Linked DNA regions of Rhinolophus ferrumequinum. Each later gene encodes a partner of the first gene's protein in a complex. Links are inferred from orthologs where the notes say so. Each region holds a gene or a part of one and is shown in the gene's direction. Other genes may lie near its edges.

What was found. The genes of interacting proteins can lie anywhere in the genome.
Region 2: the proteins of FBLIM1 (region 1) and FLNC are in contact, whole or in part, in an NMR structure (PDB 2K9U), measured with the Homo sapiens proteins. The link is inferred for Rhinolophus ferrumequinum from reciprocal best matches to the Homo sapiens genes FBLIM1 and FLNC. Residues at the interface, in NP_001337080.1 of Homo sapiens: Arg8, Val9, Ala10, Ser11, Ser12, Val13, Phe14, Ile15, Thr16, Leu17, Pro19; in NP_001449.3 of Homo sapiens: Thr2339, Ala2344, Gly2345, Gly2346, Leu2347, Ser2348, Ile2349, Ala2350, Val2351, Glu2352, Gly2353, Pro2354, Ser2355, Lys2356, Ile2359, Phe2361, Asp2380, Glu2382, Phe2387.

What each region holds. Positions count from the first base shown.
Region 1 is NC_046292.1:10,559,165-10,566,366, forward strand, and holds the start of FBLIM1 (filamin-binding LIM protein 1), read left to right. Parts: upstream 1-4,201; 5' UTR 4,202-4,223; intron 4,224-4,517; exon of another isoform or gene 4,518-4,611; intron 4,612-7,202. UniProt on the Homo sapiens protein: Serves as an anchoring site for cell-ECM adhesion proteins and filamin-containing actin filaments. Is implicated in cell shape modulation (spreading) and motility.
Region 2 is NC_046309.1:17,312,085-17,319,890, reverse strand, and holds the start of FLNC (filamin-C), read left to right. Parts: upstream 1-4,791; 5' UTR 4,792-5,049; coding exon 5,050-5,404; intron 5,405-7,806.

The sequences.
Region 1 (7,202 bases):
AGGAGTCAGGTCCGTTTATCCAGCAGCTGAAGTGATGAAATCAGTTATCTCTCCTTCTCTATCATCTTTGCTCTCCTGTCCTCCATGTTGGTCCAAGTGTTGGCAAAAATGATGCCAAGCTTGCATCCTGACAGCCTGGAAAAATACTGACTCTTTCCAAATAATTCCATCCAGGCACTAAGAGTAGGGGTGAGGTTCCCCAAACAGAAACTGGATACTGTTACCAGAATCCGGGAAAGTGACACTGGCTGACAGAAACCATGTCCCTTAGATTATCTCATGGGACTAAGTCTCTTCCTTACCTTCAGCACTTTGTCCATCTCCCTGCAAAATCCTGAAACCTCCTTCATCTGTAGGATGGGAAAAGGAAAGGAACTCACCCCTGAACACCTACTAAGCACCAGGCATATTTATCCACATTCCTCCTATCAAATCCCCACAATGAAGCCACAGGGAGGTACTGCTACCCCCAGGTTACAAGAGGAAACTGAGGCTCAGGGAGAAGTGACTTGCCCAAGGTAACAGGCTGGCAAGTGTCAGAGCTGGATTCACCACGGATATTGATGTTACTCATATCTGTGCTTGCCCCAGCCCCGCCCCTGCTACAGTGTGGGGGGGCTCCCACTTCTCTGTATTGATTCACCCCCTGTCCAGCCCCGAGCACAGAGCCCCCCATACAGGAGATGCTCAGGAAATGTGTTGAACGGACCTGACTCCGAGCAGGCATAGAGGAGGATGGAGAGAGGGGCAGGAGCAGAGCTAGATGGCCCCGGGCGGGAGTGGGGCGGCTTCTGAGACTGCTGAGGAAGTGGGCACCCTTCTGTGACCTGAATGTACAACTTCATGCAGCTGCACATCTGGGCACCCCCAGGCTGGGCCTGACAGTTCTGCTCTGACCTGGCCCCAGTGGAGCCTGGCAAGGGGGACGGCAGTTGGACAGACAGATGCTTTCTGTCCTCGAGGTCTCTGGGCCCCGGGGACTTCAGCTCAGGGAGCCTTGTCCCTGTTCTCAGATCTAGCTGTCGAGCATATGGACCATGTGAGCAGAGAGCACTGGAAACCAGGCGAGAGTGATGTAAGAATAGCTAGCGCTACCATCCGTGGGACAGCGACCCGAGGCCCCGAGGGTGCCTTTTCAGTGCCTCTGTCCCCAACAGTTGCAAAGGGAGGGATTCACATCCCCATTCAAAGGCATCCAGCCCAGCTCTCCTATGTTACAGGTGAGGAAATGGAGCTTCAAAAAGGAAAGGGACTTGGCCAAGGTCAAAGCCAGCACCCGAGAGCTGGGAGTTAAGCCTAAGTCTGACCTCAAAATCCATGTTTTCCCTACTGCCTCCCTCCTCCTGTTCTCATGGCTGGCTCCTCCTCGTCTCAGCTTAAAGGCCCCCACCCACCCACCCAGAGAGGCCTGCCCTACCCTCACCTGCACCCCTTATTCTGTCTCAGTGCTTTATTCATTCACACTTCACCACTGGTAAGTATTATATTAATTTTCATTAATATCTCCCCTATCTCCCTGTAAGTTCCATGGAGACAAGGATTGATTGTATCTGCCTAGCACATAGTAGGTGCCCAATTAATGCTTGTTGGATCAAAGCCCTCCTCCTACTGTTGGCAGCAGGTGCCATGCTCCCCTCCCCTTCAGACTGGACAGCAGCAAGTGTCCCCACTGCCTTGGGCCTGCCCCCAAACCTATCTCCTACCCCTTCCCGGCCACCCAGGGTCTCAGCTGCCACAACCCTAAGAGAAGATTGAGCCCTTGCTCAGTTGCTTGGAAGAAAGCTGGTCCGAGGATGGCAAGGAGGGAGGAGGGGAACAGGGCCTCTGAGCTGGCAGACAAAGGGCGTGTGTTCTCATCCAGCGCACTTCCTGGGTTTCCATTGCAGGAAGCTTGGCACCTACCAAGGTGACACTGACACCTGGGTTGGTGCGGGAGACCCTTGGCCAGGACACTCCTTTCTACCTGGGAGCTGCAACAGAGGTGGGACAGGCAGCTGGGGGTGCTGGACAGCAGGTAAGTGGTGGCAGCCAGACCCCCACATTCCCCTTTGACCTTCCTCCTCCTGAGCCAGTCTTAGCCCAGAAGAGATAAGAGGATGTCTGGGTCCAAGACTGGGTCCGTGTAACCTTGGACAAGTTCCCAAGTCAACTCTTTGGTGCCTCATTGTCCCACGGGGGGCACAGTGAGGTGGCTTGGGGGAAATCATGGAGGTGGGGGAGGGCAGCTGCATTTTTCTGTTTTAAATAAGCTTCTGGGTCACAAAGCACTTGAGAAGGGGGTTCTACAGCTCAAAGTGTCTGAAAACCCCTGGGTCTCACCTTCCTCCTTAAGGTCCTTCCCATGTCTGGCGTTCAGCAGTTCCCTCCTTCCTTCTGGGGGAGGTATAGCGAAGTCTCATTCTAAACGTTGCAAAGTGGGAGGCACCACTGCCAGGCCAGGAATGAGCCCTACCAGGTGCTCTGGCAGCCTTGAGTGCGAGTCTCCCTCTGCCTCAAGAACTCTGGCTGCTTCTCTGAGCCTCAGCTTCTGAATCTGGGGAGAGTGGCAGTCACCCGGTCCCTGGGACCAACAGAGCCGTGAACCCAGGGGCACCTACTAGTCTGGGCTTGAATCCAGCTCTGCCACTTGCCCCTTGTGTGGCCTTGAGCCTCTCTGGGCCTCACTTTCCTCATTTGTGAAGCAGGAATAATCAGCCCCACTGCACAGGGCTCTCCTGGGGATCAAATGGAGAGCAGGCCTGTAGGCCGGACACGGCTCACAGGAACCCCTATAAATGGCAACCACTGCTACTGCTGCTGTTGTTATTGCAGAGTGGCTGTTACCGGAACCCCAACATTTTGTTTTGTTTTTTGAATCCACCTACCTGTGCGCAGTGGCCCAAAGAAATGCACGAATAGGTGTTTATAGTATAGAAAAAAAAAATAGTTTAGTATCGAACTGGCCAATATGGAGACAGGGAGCTTATGCTCAAAAACCTGACTCCCCAAGGGTGTGTAGGTTACAAATTATATAGGAAAAAAATCACAAGACACTGTGGGTTAGGGGGTGCGGGCTCGTGCTGGGAGCTGATTTGTGGGAGGTGAGGTAAGGGTAGTCTCTCTGGCCTGATGGGAAAGTAGCCAAAGGGTCGTTCCACTCAGGGCTCAGGAGGTCAAGACGTCATCTTAGCTGCCAGACATCCAGATTGACCATTGGTCAGGTCTCGGCTACTGTCTTCTGGTGCCTCGGGGTTGCTGATTATCTGCAGGGAAAGACGAGTTCTCTGAGGGGACCGAGGAGATTGAGAGAGAGAGATCTAGAGCTAGGATTTAAAGCTAATTTTAATGAAAGTCATAGAGACTCTCAGTTTCAGCTGTGAGGATCAAATGAAAAAAGGATGACAAAAAGTGGGTGAGGTATTTAAGGTGGGGTGAGGGTGGAAGAGCGTGGGACAGGGTTCAAGGCACACCCCTCAGAACCCCCACGAGCGTGAGCCCCTCAAAAGCAGCCCAAGGGCCACCCTGAGCAGCGTGACTGCAGCTTCGGGCCAGCAGAGGACAGCCACACCATGCCTGGCCTCCCCCCAGATGGCGCAGGGTCCAGTGCTCTTCTGGCCTCAGCCACTGTGGCTTTAATCAAAAGAACAATCTGTTTGCCTCTGAATCAGACCCAGATTCCTTTTCCCAGCAATGTTCCCTAGGCCTCCAGGGACTCAGGCGGCCCATCCCGGCTCCATCTCCCGCCCCAGGGCCCAGGCTCAGCTTCCCCTCCCCCCTGCATTATCTATCCACTCCAGCTTGGAGGTGGGAGTGCAGGAGGTGGGAGGGGGTCCATGACAGGTGACCTGATTGCCTGCTGGGCCTTGCCTACCAGACCTCCTGGAGGGGTCTGTCCCCCCAAGGACCCTGGGACCCACCTACAGAGGGCTGAAGAGTTCCAGACAGGTAGTGACAGCTCAGGACACCAAATCCAGGTGACCTGTTTCACTGAGGCACACCCTAAAAAAGCCCCAAGCCCAGCATATATTGACCATTCTCTGTGCTCTCCTCACTGTCATTGTCATATTTTATCCTCAGGCTGACCCTGACAGGTAGGCAGCCATACCCCCGGTTTTACAAAGAAACAGGCTACTGCCCAGGTAGTTAGTGAATGGCCATGGAACCCACGTCTAACTGACTCATAGGACCTTGGGAGCTTCCAGGCCAAACTGAGGTGTAAGCGCCCCTTCCACCTGACAGGGCAGGTAGGGCCACCAACCCAGGGGGAGAGGGAGAATAAAGACCACTCAAGGTGCACAAAGGACACGGGGTGGGTGGGTGTCAGTGGGAGAGCCCTCCCACCCGCCAGGCCTGGGCCGGGGGAAGGGAGGAGGGGTCGAGGGAACAAAGAGAGGGGGAGGGGGCAGCGCGGGGCGCGGCCGGCCAGGTGGGGGGGCAGGTAGGGGCCGCTTCCGCCGGGCGGGAATCCCAGGCCCCCTCCCCCAAGCCTCACCTTTTATGGTAAGGCGGCCGGGGCTGCGGGGCGGAGGGAGCCAGGGGGCGGGGAGGGCGGAGGGGCGGGAGGCCCGCGCTCCTCCCGGCTCTGCTCGCTCTGGCGTCGGACCGGAGCCGGCTGGGGCGCGGGCGGCCCAGGTAAGCGGGGTGGGGGTTGGGGGGTTCTCGCCCATCAGGCCTTGCCCTGGCCACACACAAGTGACAGTGCGGGCAACCCCAGGCCGAAGCCTACCCCGCCCCCAGCCGGGACCCCTGCCCCCTGGAGGGGGCTGGGGAACGGGCTGGGGGTGGGGGCTATCCTTCCGTCCTCAGTTCCTCCGTTTCTGTCCCCGGAGTAGGGGGTAGGGTTGGTGTCCCTGCCCAGGAGCGGAGCGCCAGGGGCGGGGGTGGGCAGGGCGGAAGCTCCCGCACAAAGAGGACAGACAGCGTCCCGCACATGGAACGAATTAAAGTCCCTGGCGGTGCCCCATGGTGACCCGGCCAGCCGCCCTGCTTGGCTGCTTGCGGGAGGGCGCCGGGTTTCTGGAGCTCCGGGGACCTGCGGGCCCTTTTACCCAGCTAGGGTTAGGGGAGGGGCAAGGAGGGGGGCCCCAGGGCTGCCCCTCTCTGGGCCTTAGACCCCATAGGTGTTTGGGACAGGGTGAGCCTGGGCGATCCCCAAGGTGTGTGCTTGGTGGCATGGGTCCTCCTCCTGCCCAGATCTGAGGACCCACGGAAGACGCTGGGCGGTGTGCCTAGATTTCTGTTCTTCATAATGACAGAAGCTAAGTCCTGGGCCTCCTAGGACCCCCAGGAGCCTAGTCCCTAAGGGTTCCTCTTCCCCCCCAGGGGCTGAATAACCAGCTGGCCTTCTCTTTGCACTTACTGTACCAAGATCTTGAGCACCATCTTTCCTTTTAGTCCCTCAGCCAGCCAGCGGTCAGGACAGACCTCATTATTCTCACTTTATAAACAACCTGGAGCCCAGAGAGGTTCTGTAACCTGCTCAGTGTCGCCCAGCAGGAAAGCAGTGGGGCCCCTGTAAACCCAGCCCTGTGCCTCCTCCACTTCCCTGGAGTGGGAGACAGGGAGGGGGAACACCTATCTAAGGCTGCAAGGTCCCCTGCGGTGGAGGGGGGTAAGGGGTACAGTCACACCTCCCCCTCCCTCAAACTTTAATTCCAAACCAAGCATAGATTGCTTATAGAGTATCAAAGAACAAAGCTTAGGGGCTGTTCCAGAGTTTTGGGAAGGGGTTAGAAGGAATAGGACAGGGGACAATGGCAGGGGTCACTACCGGTAGCCCCTGGAGGCCCTCCCACTCAGCCCGGCCGTCCCTGCCCTGGGCTTTAGCTTAAAGCCGGCTGGGTGTCTGGCTGGCTGGATCTCAGCCTCCTTCCTTCCTCTTGACAGGAAATGACTTTCCTTCCCTTTGTTCCCACTTTCTCTGCTTACCCAACTGGATCTCAGATTCACCCTCTGAGGGAGGAAGGATGGGGGTGGAGGGTCCTCTGGGTGCCCCACAGGGAGTTTTCTCACATGTACCCCACTCCAGAGTAACGTGGGGGCAGAGGGACCAGAGGGAAGTTGAGCTTCCCTTTCCTGCCGGTGCCTGACTACTGACCCAACAGACCAGGCTTTGAAAGTCCCCAGCTTGGCCCCTTCCCTTGGGGCCTGAAGTCCCAGCAAGAACCGCAGGGAGTGTGTGTGTGTGTGTGTGTGTGTGTGTGTGGGGAGGGGGGGGTGCCCAGCTGTGAACATCTGGCGTCAGCACTGGGAAGCTTGCCTTGGATGTTTTCCGAGAAACCGCCAGATCCAACTTCCTTAAGGGGTGGAGTGAGGGTCAGAGCTGGGTGAGAAGGAGGTAGAGGGGGCATCCACAGAAGTCTTGGGAAAGCCCAGAATACACTGACCACAAGGTGATTGGTTCAGATTGGGGCATTCTGGGGTGAGAACAGGCCTGAGAATTTGGGGCCCCCATGCCACCCAGGGATGAAAAGGTGTGTCTCAGGTCCTAGGACACCCTGTGGACGCAGATCAGATAGCGCTCCGTTAGAATTCCTAGTCTGCCACGGATGGCCTGTAAAAGTCATTTAACCTCTTGGGGCCTCACGTGGTCCATCCATGAAGTAGGGGCAAAACGGGCTGTTTTGAGAATTAGATGAGTTTTGAGACATGGAAGGCCCTGGGGGCACAGTGCATGGCACACAGCGCCTGGCACAGCCAATGCTTTATCAACCAGTGCCCTGTTGTTTCTTATATTTAAATCTCAGATGCACTCTGAAAGTTGTTTACAAAAATTGATAATTAAACTTGTAGCAAACGTGGGGGCAGAGGGACCAGAGGGAAGTTGAGCTTCCCTTTCCTGCCGGTACCTGACTACTGGACCCAACAGACCAGGCTTTGAAAGTCCCCAGCTTGGCCCCTTCCCTTGGGGCCTGAAGTCCCAGCAAGTCCCAGCATAAAACCAAAGATTATGACAGTCAATATAAGCGTATACACTTCCAGACATCACATAAAACAAGACACAAAAGAGAAATATTTTAAAGAATTTTGAAGCTTTCTTCATAGATTGGTTTCTTTTTCAGAACAGATATTTTATGACCAGACTGAGCTATACATTTTAACCAAACATATAAACCAATTTAGGAGAAATTTACCAGCATATGTTGTTTTTGTTGTTATTGTCCATCAGTCACCAAGATTGCCCAGGGGGCCAGTTGAAATTCATACAGAGGGAGGCCTTGGAG
Region 2 (7,806 bases), on another chromosome or scaffold:
GATAATTTATGAGTGTCCTTGTGATTGGTTGTTCTGATCATGAATGTTTCCATATAAAAGGCCCCAAGTGTGTTCATACACCGCAGTGGACAGAATGGCCCCCGTGACCAGTGGCTGGTTTCCTGGGACCTCTGTCTCCTTTCCCCCTGATACCAGGAGTCTATTTCATTCATCCAAATAATCCAAAACAACCTATAGAGCATGTAGAGTGGTGGGCACTGCACAGCACTAAATGAATTCATTTCTTCCCCGGCCTTTCCTAGCGAGAGTAGCAACAACATTTAGAATTAGGAGAATTTTTTTTTCCCCCTTGAGGAGAGCTCAGCTCACCGTGGCCCATGCAGGGATCGAACTGGCAACCTTGGTGTTACCAGCACCGCACTCTAACCAACTGAGCTAACCGGCCACCCCGAATTAGGAGATTTTTAAGTTGTGTGCAGCCCAGAGGAGTGACAAGGCTGGACTGGGAGTCCACCCTGGCAGGCCTGGGCCAGTGCTATAAACAGGGCCGCACCCAGCCAGATCGAGGGCAGTGACATGCATCCCTTCTGCCTCCAAGTGACTACTCTGTGACGACAGTGCTGACCTCGGGGTGCGTAGCCCCCCAGCTACTCCCACGGGTCCAGAGACCAGCAGCATCGGCATCGGCAGGGCAGAAGCTCAGCCCCTACCTCCGACCTGCTGACGCAGAGTCCGCCTTTTAACAAGATCCCCAGTTATTAGGCACAATAACATTTGAGAAGCACTGCCCTCAATTAGATTGTGTGTTCTCAGTCGTAACCTAACGGAAGAAATTCTTTCACAACTCACCTGGGGCGACTGGCCCCTCGCTGGTGAGTGTAGTGAAACCCTGCTTTTTATTCCCTTTACTCCGGCCACCAGTTGGCTGGAAAAGACTGAACCATTGTCACCCCAATAAATTTTAATAAAATAAAAAAAAAAAGAGTGGAGGATTACCTACCATCAAAGATCACTGATTTAACTTGGAATGAGAAGTCAAGGTGGAGGTCACGGTCTGGTAGGCAGTGGGCCCCCAGTCGGGACTTTATCAGATCCTTCCCAGGCCCAAATCTAGAGCCTGGGCAAAGCTAGGAAAATGGTCCCGTTTTTCCCTAGCCTTTTTGCTTAGCATACAGAGCTCTTCCCTTTAGGACACTTGGCTCCTGTTGGCTCATTTTAGAGTGCTCTCCTCTTCATCCCTTTAGGCTTTGACTCCTAGCCTTATTCATACACTGTTACCAGAGTAGATCAAAGAGGTCTCTCCGGGTTGAATGTGAAACAGTCACTTGAGCTTGTTTTAAGTCTACAGGGGTGTCTCCTAGAAGCCCCAGGCAGGCACGCACCCAGGCTGGAGTACAGATAGAACCAAGGACTCAAAACAGCTTCAGGGGCCTCCCTCTCCCGCTCTACTGCCCTCTGCGTCACTGCTGCTTTTCTGCTCTCTCCCAGCACAACAGCCCCCCTCGGCTTTCTCTTCCCAGGCCACGTGCTAGAGCACACCACCTGCCACTCCTGTCAAGGACCAACTGCTATTAAGGAGCAGGGTGGGTGGTTCTAAAGATCAGAGGTACCCTGGTTCTGATTCTGGCAGGTGGATTCGGGGATCACGGAAGGGAAGACTGGAGGAGTGTGAAGATCCTGGCGGTGGATTCTACAAGGGATAGAAACAGAGCTGGGAGGAAGGCCTCACTCACCAGACCCCAGATGGTCCCCGAGATACCAGCAGAGAAAGCAGACGAACTTTTTTTCTGATCACCTATTAGCTGCCAGGCACCACGCTCATTTTACATGTTCCCTCCTTTCATCTTCATACATAAAAAATCGCCATGACAACATTAACTCCATTTCACAGATGAGAAAACTGAAACCCAAAGGAGTTACATTACCTGCCCAAGGTTATAAAGTCTATGGATCTTTCCATCCGACCCCACCGTCCCTGGCACCCAGGTCAGGGCCACAGTCAGTATCACCGATTGATCCAAGGACCTGCTGTGAGCCTGGCCAGTCTCCTCTCATAACGGGTGACTGTGGAAATGTCCCTGGCTCCAGAAAAACAGGATTCTCAAACATGGCCCATTGGACCCGCTCACTCTGACTCTGTTTAGCCCAAGTTAATTATGGCCACTGTCCGTGGCTGATGAGCCCCTTGATGGGAGAAGTAGGGCCAAGTGAAAGGCAACCTGGTCCTCTGAGACAGGTCAGCGGGTGGTGAGTCAGGGGGCTATAAACAGCCTATGGCCCCAGCCAGCGTTACCCCAAATGCTCAGCTGATGAAACCCCCTGTAAGCCCCTCTATGTGCCCCTGCCTGGCTTGGCCCTTCCTCAGGGAGGCGGCCCCACTTGGCAGGCCGTAGGACCAGCATTGCGCACGGTCTGTTCCAGCCCTCATGGCCAGGCCTGAGGCCTGGGCTCATGGGCTATATTGAGAGCTGAGTCACCAGCCTGCGCCTGGGTCAGGCTGCTGGGACTGGCTGGCTGGGGCCTGAGTCAGGCCCCGATTTATCCTGGAGAGCAACAGGCTCAGGTTTCTGGGGAAGGGGGGTAAGAAGGGTGCTGGGAACCATCCTTGGCACTGGGTACCCTGCTCTACTGAGACCATTCACTTACTCCTCAGGGGCCTCTTACGGACCTCTCTTGGAGAGAGGGAATGAGAGGGGGGAGAGAGGAGACTTCTTTCTCCACTCACTGGCCTCCCTCTGAACCCTCCCACCTCAATGGAGGACCTTAACTGACTGGGGGACACACCAAGTAATGCCCCAAAACAGGACTATGAGCCACTAGGATTTGTAAAGGGGCTGTTGGCTCCAAGGAAACCCATTTTACCCCTTTCTCTTCTCCCTAGCAGCTCAGAGAGAGGAACCTATCCTTTCTCAGATCTGTACCTCAGTTTCTTCATCAGGGCTTCAGAGACATCGCTGAATCCTGAGCTGGCACCTCAGGTTAGGTGTCAGAAGTCTGCCATTTTTACACACACACACACACACACACACACACACTCACAAACACACACACTTCCCTTGTGAGACCCAGCTATGTGTCATGTGTCCCCAGGAGCTGGGCATCTCTCCACAGGAGAGCTCAGCCTCTAAAGTAGACGGTCAACACTGATGCCTGGTGGTTGGTTTTGGCCGTGGGACAAAGGTGGCATGGGGCAATGAGAATTCTGGAGATAGGGAAGGGGGGTGCCAGTAGGAGAGTGGAATTCCTGAGCACCTCGTCACAGGCAGCCGACAGAACATGAGCCGCAGGGCCCAGGCTATTTATACCTTGCCTGTCACTATTAGGGCCCCCAGAGCTCCCCCCTCACAAGCTACACACAGCAGTTCTCTTTTCTGTTTCTGGCCCCTTCTCTACTCCTCCCCCTCCCTACCTAATGAGAAGGGAAAGAAATCATTCATGGACCCCTTTCACATAAGCACTCCCGCCCACAAAACCCGGGAACTTCTTTCTGAGCTCCATAATGGAGATTGCCCTCATTCTGTCCGCTATCCCCCTTCTCCCTGGGGGTAGAAGAGGAATAAGGTAGAATGTTATACCTCTAAGGTCCCAGAACCTTCCCAAACTTCAATTATCACACAGCTTGAATCGGGGAATGTCTGGCCCAAACTTACTTGTTCTTGAAGAATGGGAAAGCTGAGGAAATACAGCGCAAAGGGAATACCAGGGGATATGGACCACATGCATGCTACAAAATTATGGATTTATATTCTCTGTATATATATTCTATAGCTCTGTCATCCCAGGCCAGCTCCTATTTGACTGCCTCAAGTTTCCTTGCTGTCACCATTCCCTCGCCCAGTCCTGCCTAGGCTTCCTGGCTGGCTCCCTTGGGCTCTCTCTGCCCACCAGCCCCTGTCACGTTTCCCCTTGGCTGCTCTGGGCAGGGCTCTCCCTCTTTGTCTGGCGAACCCGCCCTTTCACTGGAAGGATCTGCCCTGTGGCCCAAATGGGCACCTTGCCCAGGGGGCTCCCTGCTACTACAGGGCAGTTTCTCCCTTCCCACTCATCACCTTGGTTGAGTCAGACTTGGGGGGGTGCACAGTGTGACTCACTGGGTACTCTTTTCCTGAGCTCAGCTTCATTCTGAGGGGATGAGGCCAAACAGGCTGGTGACGGGGACACTGAGTCAGGGGCAGCCTCAGTCTTTCTCCTGGGACCCTGGGTTTGGCCTTCAAACTAGGCTTTTCTACCTGTAAAAGTGAAGCACCACCCCCCACCACAACCATCACACCTTCTCCCCAATTGGCCTGGGCGGTATCCTTATTTCCTCTCAGTCCATCTCTGTACTAGCACACACTTCCCTTCCCTGGCACAGGTGGACAGTACCCTGGGCTAGGAGCCAGGACTCCCAGGCCCTGTCACCAATTCATCCAGAAAATTTTGTCAACACCAGATCACTGTGTTTTACCCTAACCACTGACCTCAGTTTCCCTATTGATCTCTTTAGTCCTGCGGGACGTGGAGGGGACATATTTAATCTCTGACGGGCAATGCTTAGTTTTGGGGTGTTGGGTGCCCTACCCCCCACCTTCCAGCTCTGCTCCACCTCTCCAACGCAGCGCCCCAGGGACTAGCCCCTCTGGGGAGCTAACTGGGGGGCGGGGGAGCCCCCCCCTTGGGCCAATCGGGCCGCGTGGGGGAGGGGAGGACAGAGGCGGGGCGGTCGGGCTCTGCGCGGCCCCCACCCGCAGGCCGGGCGGCATTCCTGGGAGGCCGGCGCTCTGACGTGGACCCGGGGGCTGCGAGTGCGGCGGGGGGAGCGCGGCCCGGGGCTTCTTAAACCCCCCGCCCCGGCCGGGCCGGCACTTCCCGAGCACCGCTCCGCCCCCGAAGGGAGAGGGAGAGAGAGAGAGAGAGAGAGAGAGCGAGCGGCCAAGGAGCGAAGAGTCCCGCTGAGTCCCGCCAGCCAGGGGCGCGAGAGAAGTTGAGAGCCGCACAGCGCAGAGCTGCGAGTCCCGCGATCGCCCAGACAGCGCCCCGACAGCGCCCCCAGCCCCTGCCCAGCCCGTGCCCAGCAGGCAGCACAACCCTCGACCCACCCCTGCCAGCATGATGAACAACAGCGGCTACTCGGAGCCCGCGGGCCTCGGCCTGGGCGACGAGGCAGACGACATGCCGTCCACGGAGAAGGACCTGGCGGAGGACGCTCCGTGGAAGAAGATCCAGCAGAATACATTCACGCGCTGGTGCAACGAGCACCTCAAGTGCGTGGGCAAGCGCCTGACCGACCTGCAGCGAGACCTCAGCGACGGTCTGCGCCTCATCGCTCTGCTCGAGGTGCTCAGCCAGAAGCGCATGTACCGCAAGTTCCACCCGCGCCCCAACTTCCGCCAGATGAAGCTGGAGAACGTGTCCGTGGCCCTCGAGTTCCTCGAGCGCGAGCACATCAAGCTCGTGTCCATAGGTCAGTGTGGGCAGGGGAGTGCCCCGAGGACCGGCTGGCCCGTGGGGACGGGACACAGGTGCCGGTGGGTGCGGGGAGCTGAGAGAGAGGGAGGAGAGCAGCCCCCTGACACGGGGAGGGAACCCCGGCTCTCCCGCCACCACCGACGCTGGCCACACGGGCACTGCCTTCACGCCCCTCTCTGCACAGCGGCGGGCGGTGGGGGATGGGGAGATACCCGGAGGGTCCAGAGTCCCCCGGCTTCAGCCTTCTCCTACACGGTCCCACAGACCCGCCTCTCTACTCATCGTCCGCCTTCTTGCCATCGGGCAACCCCAGCCATACTTGAGAGGACAGGGCCAGTACCCATTACTGATTCCTGGGGGCGTCTTCCCTCAAACAAAGCAAAGGCTTCCCAGCCTTGCAGCAGCTCCACCGGGAGGAGCGGGCTGAAGGCAGGTCCCAACCACTGCCGATCCCGGGGCTCCGGGGCAGACGGAGAGCCGGTGGCCCGCATGTGTTAAGCAGCTGGGTTCAGGCCCGGGGGCCGGGGCAAGCAGAGCCCAGCCTCAGAAACCTAAAAAGGCACTGAGCGAGCGCGGGAGCCTTAACCCCCGCTAGTCCTCCTCGGGCTCAGCGTGCCAGGGAGGGGTCTCCGCACGTCCAGGCCCGGCCCGGCCCCAGCCCACCCCCTAAGCTGGGATTGGCTGCAACTAACGCTCGGGGCAGAGGGGAGGGAGGGGAAGGCCTGTAGAAGGGAGGAAGTCATTGAGTGTAACCAGATTTGGAAGGTGTGTCTGTGCTGGGTGGGGGTGGGGAGACACTCTAGGCTTGGGAACCAGAGGCCAAGGTTGGACTCTGAGTGGCCAAAGGCTGCCCCTCCCCTCAAAGCTCTGCTGTCCTCTCTGCAGGCTGGTGGCCTGGGCCAGACCCCCTACTCCTGTGTACCCCTGTGGTGAGCTCTTAAAAGTCCAGCTGTGATTTACAGGAAAGTGTCCCGTGAAGGGTGCACCCCAAGGCCCCAGGAGAGGGGTTTAACTTAGGGTCAGATGCCTCTCCTGCCAGACTGCCCCAGAGTCTATTCCGGATAATTGAATGTCCACCCCCAACTCTCCCTCAGGGCATCTCTAGGCCTCCTGATTTAGCAGCTGAGGTCAGTCGGGGGCCCTTTGCCTTGTCCAGTCCCCTCTCTAGGCCTTACCCCCTCCTGCCCCAATACTGCCCTCCCACCCCACCCGCTCTGGCCTGGAAATAGCCCTACCTCCGTGACACAGCAGATGTCTCTGAGCTTTCCAGAAGGACAAGCCTGAGGACAGGAGTGGGGGAGGGGCCCTGGGGTGTGTAGTGGGGGTGAGGGCTATTGAGAGTGTGTGTGTGTTGGCAGGGGTCTGAGGGGAGTCTGCCCTTGGTCTGTCACCCCCCTGCACCGGGGATTTGACGGACAGGACTGGCTGTCCCAGGTGGGGTCTCCAGGGGAGAGCCGGGGGCCTCAGCATATCTTTGTAGGAAGCTGCTCCCTGCTTTCCCCTCCCCTCTGGGTTGTGGGGCGGCTAGCCCCTCTCCAGGCCTCATCCTTCCTGTGCGCACCTCTCCCCTCCCCCATGGTGGTGCCTGGCTCCAGCCCCTTGGCTCAACTGTGGAGGGGCCGGCTCAGAGCAGAGGGGGAAGAAGCAAAAGCTGGTTTGGGGTGGGGAGGGAAGTGCCTCGGTTCCCGCCGAGAGGAAGGGAACCATTCCCCATTTGGGCCAAGTGGCTCACTCCCGGTGATGAGATAAGCTGTCAGCAATTCTGCTGCTGGGCCTGAGGCTGAGGTTGGAGGGGAGGGGGCCCAGGCGGAAGGAGCTTCCCAAGCTTGAGGAGACGTAGTGGGGTTCCCCACCAGGGGTGGCATCCTCCTTCCTCTAGTTCCCTCGTTTCCCATAAGTGATTGGAACAGGCCGTCCAGGGGGCCTCCTCTAGGCATTGTCTCAAGACTGAAATCGAGTGTCTGGGCACCTGGGAGGAGGGTCAGAAAGACTCCCCACGTCCCTCTCTAGGAGTGGGGTGACAGCTGGGAGCTGAGAAGTCCACCTGAAGGAGGGGGTACTCTTTCTGGGTTGGAGGAGCTGTGTGCCCTTCTTACCCCACTCCCCGCATCCCAGCCCCCCCCAGCCCCTCCAAACAAAGAGACCTATGAGGCAGCACTGTCCCGCAGCTGTTCCCCAGTTGCTATTCCTTCTCCTTGAGCCAACAGCCAAGGGAGGGGCTGGAGGGGGCAGCAGCTGTCCCAGCCCCTCCCTCGCCCAGCCCTCTCTCCACCCCCTCCACTTGGGGCCTGGGGCAGCCTCAGGCACTGGCTGTTGGGCTCTTCCCGCCACTTTGGGGGTACCCCCTGGCAGGCGAAGAAGTGGTGGCTCCGTGGGGTAGAAGAGAGGAAGGCTGGC